2 linked regions of the Sus scrofa genome follow. The protein of the gene in region 1 purifies or fractionates together with the protein of each later gene. This does not show direct contact. Links are inferred from orthologs where the notes say so. Each region holds a gene or a part of one and is shown on either strand. Other genes may lie near its edges.

Evidence for each region.
Region 2: the proteins of ANKRD49 (region 1) and FKBPL purify together in Homo sapiens (affinity purification with mass spectrometry; 4 studies listed by BioGRID and IntAct, counting the BioPlex papers as one, with this or other methods). This does not show direct contact. The link is inferred for Sus scrofa from reciprocal best matches to the Homo sapiens genes ANKRD49 and FKBPL.

The regions. Positions count from the first base shown.
Region 1 is NC_010451.4:26,640,127-26,643,155, forward strand, and holds the end of ANKRD49 (ankyrin repeat domain-containing protein 49), read left to right. Parts: intron 1-903; coding exon 904-1,365; 3' UTR 1,366-2,394; downstream 2,395-3,029. UniProt on the Homo sapiens protein: Induces HBG1 expression. May have a role in spermatogenesis where it promotes autophagy in response to serum starvation, via the NF-kappaB pathway.
Region 2 is NC_010449.5:24,171,632-24,174,858, forward strand, and holds FKBPL (FK506-binding protein-like), read right to left. Parts: upstream 1,680-3,227; coding exon 630-1,679; downstream 1-629. Other genes in the region: ATF6B (cyclic AMP-dependent transcription factor ATF-6 beta), read right to left, coding at 1-111. UniProt on the Homo sapiens protein: May be involved in response to X-ray. Regulates p21 protein stability by binding to Hsp90 and p21.

The sequences.
Region 1 (3,029 bases):
TTGAAACACTTTTTTTTTTTTTTTTTTTTTTTTTTTTTTTTTTTTTTTTTTTTTTTTTTTTTTTTTTTTTTTTTTTTTTTTTTTTTTTTTTTTTTTTTTTCCTATGAGATAGGCACTATTTTTCCCTTTTACAGATGAAGAAGTTGAGATTTGGGAATATTAATTTACCCAGAGTCATCCAAGTAGGATGATCTTAATATCAAAAATCTATTCTTCCCACTTGGCCACTTCTACCTTGTTTAACTCAGCTCCTCCATGTCTGTGTTAATAAACTAATACCTAAGAAATCTTGCATTTGGGGGTAACTTTTTAACCCAAGAGCAGACTGCATCCCACCAGAGGTCCTCAAACCAAACGTAAAGCCACTCCCAGAAAACATGTGTCTCAGGTTGTTTTAGTTAGAAGGAATCGAGCTTCTTAATCTCTAGATTTCCTTGTTACCATGGCATTCTACTGATGAAAGTTTATTTTTTCAGGTTTTATACTTTGTGAAAGTATATTGTTTTGATAACCTTACTACAAAAGATCCGTCTGTTCCATTATTATGTCTTCATCACAGATGAAATATAAAACGTTAAATATAACTCTAGCCTGTATTATTCGTCCAGGACCACAGCTTTTGTGCAATAAGACTTCCTTGGACCAGGAGTAAGTGTCTGGTTTGGTATTCAGAGAATCCCGTGCTCAGAATCAGCAGTTTCTGGTGAATACTAACTTGTTATGGTTAGTTGCCCTCTACCCCACCTCCCAAAGAAAAATGTGATTTTTCTTTTGCAGTCGTCTACTACCAAGGAAGTTTCTAGCTAACTTAACTCAACCTAACACCACTAGACACTTGAATTTTCTTGGTCTCGCGTTGCGTTTTGCGTTGGGTGTTTAAAAGAGCTCTCACTTCCCTCTCAGCTTAGCACTGTGCGGAGACTGCTTTCAGAAAAGGCCACCCACGTGAACACTCGAGATGAAGACGAGTACACGCCACTCCATCGAGCAGCCTACAGCGGCCACTTGGACGTGGTCCGCGAGCTCATCGCGAACGGGGCAGACGTTCATGCCGTGACGGTGGACGGCTGGACACCCCTGCACAGTGCGTGTAAGTGGAACAACACCAGAGTGGCTTCTTTCTTACTGCAGCACGACGCGGACATCAACGCCCAAACAAAAGGCCTCTTGACCCCCTTACATCTTGCGGCTGGAAACAGAGACAGCAAAGACACCCTGGAACTCCTCCTGATGAACCGCTACATCAAACCGGGGCTGAAGAACAACCTGGAAGAAACGGCGTTTGACATCGCCAGGAGGACGAGTATCCATCACTACCTCTTTGAAATCGTGGAAGGCTGCACAAATTCTTCACCTCAGTCTTAACGGTTCTAAGAACTTTCTTAAGTTTCTACGTCCCAGTGCCTCCTTTTGTGTGAGATGTGAAGTATCCCCATAACACAAGGTTGCCGTCCAATGTCTTAAGACAGTGATTCCGTGGTACTCAAGATCCCACCCTTCCAAGTGGACTGCCTGACCTTGACGTCAACATATATTAGAAAGTTGTTTGGATCTATCCTCTAATGATTTCCGTGGAGTTTGTGCTTTTTATCACATCATTTTAACTTACCTATACTGAAAAACTTGTCACAGGTTGTACAGAAAACTAATGATATTTTTGGTGCTGACCCAAGAGAAATGTATTTTTAAATATCCCCATCCTAGATCTTTGTTGAGTATTTAGTATACTGACATGTATTTTTATAAGGTAAGGTAACTCAGAATTTCATTTAAAAGTCTTAAATACACAGGTGCAGTTCAGCAATCTTCTCTGCATTACCAATAGCCATTTGCTTTCATTGGAAACCGTAAGATTCAAGTGACTTACAAAAAAAAAAATCAAGAAACTTAAATCTTTGTCTTTTAGAACCTAGACCATTTCTGGGAAATAGTCAGCTAGGTGTTTAATCCACGAATGTTCTCTACTGGCCCACTGACCACAGTCTACACAGTCCTGTGGACCGTGCTACCTCGCCCTGTTCAACCTGCACCACCCTTCTTTCTGCTGGTGAGTCAGCAGGACCCTTCAGACACTCTCCCAGCCGTACCTTGGCCCAGGAGGCCAGCATATACCTGCTCTCCAGCTAGTTTCACCTGCCTGCTCCTGCTGATCTGGGCACGGCTCAGCTAGTCTCTCAAGTTCACAGGAAGTGTTCTTTTCCAGGGTCCTCTCACTGTACAAACCACACAAAGTGACAAGGGAAAGGGAATTCGAAGAGTGAAGGGATGATGATTCTATCGGAGCTAGAACCCCAAAGTGGCTCAAGCTCTTATTAAAGGCCACAGTGTGGATAGCAACAAAAGCTTAAATATAACTATTCCAAAAAAATAAAACATTTTGGACAACCAAAAAAAGCATGAATTCTTTTTTTACCTGTGTATCTCTTCCCTGGATCCACAGCATACATTATTTAGTATAATATGCATATATATAATACACATTTTATACATTTAATATAATATACATTTGGTATAACATACATTTATTGAGTATCTACTCTCTTCAGCAGCGGTTTCCCATTGCCTACTTAGCCCCTCTGTGACTAAACCAAAGGGTTTTCTCTTAACTTCCCAAAACCAGAACTAACACGGGAAAGGTAACTAAACCAGTAGCCCTTTGCTTTGGTTATTTTTGTGTGTGTATAGATATATGTGAGTTATCTAAAAATTATACATGTTACCAATTCACCGGAATTTTAAAAAACCAAGCAAAAAGTCAGTTGTAATTGCAAGGGGCAGTTTCTCCATTAAATGACAGAGTAGGAAACTGGAGTTCCCACTGTGGCTCAGCAGGTTAAGAATCCAACTAGTATCCATGAGGATGCGGGTTAGATCCCTGGCCTTGCTCAGTAGGTTAAAGGATCCAGCATTACCATGAGCTGTTGTGTAGGTTGCAGACGCAGCTTGGATCTCTTATTGCTGTGGCTGTGGTGTAGGTTGGCAGCTGTAGCTCCAACTCGACCCCAAGACCGGGAACCTCCATACCCTAA
Region 2 (3,227 bases), on another chromosome or scaffold:
GGTGAAAAAACGCGTCGGGTCCGCAATCTCGCTGAGGAGCATCAGCTCCGCCATCTTTCCCCCCCACCCCCCAACCACGAGACAGTTCCCAAGGCCCGCCTCTCCCATCATCAACTAATCGGCTGGCTCCTCAAAAGTGGGGGAACGCCCCGGAAGCTCTCCCAACCAGTAAGAGACCTGGGTATTGAGCACGTGAGACAATATAGGCGGTGGCTGTATAGGACCGGCCAATAGGAGCGCCCCGGAGGCTAGCACCTCCGCAATACCAGGCAGTGAAGTTTGCGCGTGCGCCAAGCCGGACCCAGCCTGAAAGCGCCTAGGAAACGTAGGTACCGGGTTTTGAAGGTTCGCCGTCTCCCCCAAACAGTACTGAATTTAGAAGTTTAGATAGCTTGTGTTCATCTTTGGAGATAGATAAGCCCCGCAAAATATACCACACGTGACCATAAGGCTTTTTCATGGTAAAACGGTAAAGAGGTACATACACTAAGACCACTGCTACCTTCCCTAGGAAGGCAAAAGCTGGTAAAAGTATGTGGGTGAAATCCTCCCACTGGCCCCTCCCCCCAAAACTCACAACATAGACCACAATTCACAGGTTCCTGTCTCTTTTAAGGTTTAACTTTTAATTAGCCAAACATCTTGCGCAGTCCCTGAGCCAGTCCTGCATCTTGTTTCTTCCCTTGAATGATCACCTTTCCCAGCTCCTCCTGGGCTGCCCGATTTTTGGGGTCTACTGCCAGCACTTTCTTGAGGTCAGCAGTTGCTTTGTCCAGGTTCCCAAGAGCAGCCTGGGCAACCCCCCTTCGGTACAAGGCCTTTAAATGGCCAGGCTCCCGCTCCAGCACCCGGTCACAGCTCTGGGCTGCCAAATGGGGCTGCCCTAGCAGCAACTGACAGGCAGCCAGATTGGCATGAAGGACAGTTCGTTCTGGAGAGCCAGGTGGAGGTAAAGTCAGCAGCAGCCGAAGAGCCCGTCCATAGCATCGGGCAGCCCCTTCAGGGTTCCCAGCTCTAAATAATTCTGTGCCCCGTGCACGTTCTTCCCTGGCCAGGGCCTCCTTTTCGGTGGGCTCTAGCTCCCAGGAGTCCCGGCCTTGAGTGAAGGAGGCCAGTTTGAGCCTGACAGGAGGTCCAGAGCGCCCAGGGAGCTGAAGTTCTGCCTCCTCACCTTGACACATGGACTCCAAGCACTTCTCTACAAGCTCTCCCCAAGTTTCCTCCCTCCATGGGCCTAACCCCATAGTTAGCTCTGTCCAGCCCTCTGGCAGCCCTGACCCCAAAGGAAATCCCAAAACCTGTACCCGGCAGCGGGAGCCCAGCTTGGGTTTGTCCAAGCCGTGGCCATGGATTAGGATCTTTTTGACAAAGCTCCCATCGGGGCAGTACCAGAGTTCAGAAGCTTGAAGGGGCTCTGGCATCTCACTGGCTGGTCCATGAGATTTATCAGAATCTCCTTCACGTCCAACGGCCAGCTTTTCAATTTCTTGAAGATTTTCTAGAATTTGGCCGGCTGGATCTGGGCTCACTCTCCCCTCAAGAAGTTCAGTAGAAGGGTCTTGGGGCTGCTGCCTAATCTGAGTAGTTGAATCAAGGATCTTCTGGGAGTTCTTTTTCCATCGTTGTTGCGGTTGAGAAATGTTCTTCTCTCCCAGTGGACTGACTGGTGGCGTCTCCATTTGGGTACCCAGTCCCTTCCACCGTGGGTAAACAGTTTTGGTCAGAAAGGTATGGATCAGATTCAGATCAGCACCTGATTAAAAAAGAAAAAAAAATCAAAACAATGCTATTGGCAGGAATCTTATTTAGACTTCTTTTCTGTCCTTCTGGGATCCAGGCCTCCGGTCCTTAAAGTTCTCTCTTTTTTTTCCCCCCTCCTCAAAATCTCTGTCGGATTCGAGCCTACCTCCCAACCCCGAACTAATTCGAACTATAAGTTCCACAATTCCCGCGGCTTGAGCCACTGTCCCAACTACGGATACCCGAGCGAGTCAAAAAGTACCTGGGCGGCCGAAGTGCCTCTCCTGGTGGCGGTAGCCCGACCATTCGAATCACCTCTCCTTCCGAAGCTAAGCTCTACTGAGCACTGTCATTAGAGTTTTGCTTCGGGCGGAGAGGACGGTCAGGGGGAGCAGGGGACAGCTGAGGAGAGACACTAACGGCTAACCCTGGAGCCCGCGTGAAAGCGAATCTACTCAAGTTCCCGGCAACCAATCGGGAGGAGGGAGAGGTCTGGTTAGCCCGCCTTCTGGACGTGACATCATTTCCCTCCCCTCCCCCAGCAACCGGGAAGCTCCAGGCCTTAGCAACCGAACTAGGCCAAATCGAACTGAACTAGGCGAGGTCGAGCTAGCCTGGCTATTGAGAGTTAAAGTCTGGAGAAGGCCTGGAGTGGGAGATTGGGGCGAATGAGGATAGGGTGGGGAATGGTGGAGCTGGTGGTGAATGATAGCGGTAGCGACGAGGGCCCGCATGGCGACTTCAGGCCCACCTGTGCTATTCATATTGCTGGTCTCAAGGCTCCCAGCCAATCAACCTGTCTGCTCCTTCACGCATTCAATCCAGGGTGCTAACAAATAAACTCTATTTCTCCCCAGCCTGTCCTATTCCCTTGGGGAACTACCTGAGGCTTGCCTTACCTTTCCCCTCTTGTTCATCAATGCCTTTAGAAGTCTTCTTCCTCAAGAAATCTTAGTGGTTTTCAAACTTCGATGTGCATACACATCCTCTGAGGAACTTGTTAAATGGCGCCTTCTGAATTAGGAAGTCTAAGATGGGGCCTGCAATTCTGCATTTCTAACAGGCTCTTTGTTGCTGCTGCTCTTGGTCCCACCCCACTTTGAATAACATGATTCTGGAATAACTTCATCCCATTCTCTTCACCCTTTGGTCTGTGCCCCTTTAGTTTGTCTTATATTTTACATATATAACTGGTATAACCTGCTCCACTGGAAGTGTCAGTGGAAAACCGGTCCTCCTCTTCCTAGTGAAAGGTGCTGGTCCCTCTGTGGTTCAGCCTTGCTTGCCCAGCTCCCTGCACAGGCTGGGCCACCACAGTTCTGGAAAGGAGAACCCCACTCTCAGTTCCTCATTTTGGCTCCCTCTCCAGTCTGCTCTGTAACACCCCACCATTGTGCCCCAGACTATAAGAACCATGCCAGGACAGCCAGGAGGGGAGGTAATTTCATCATTAGCTACAGATTTGTGCCAAAACAGTCCTTTTCGTT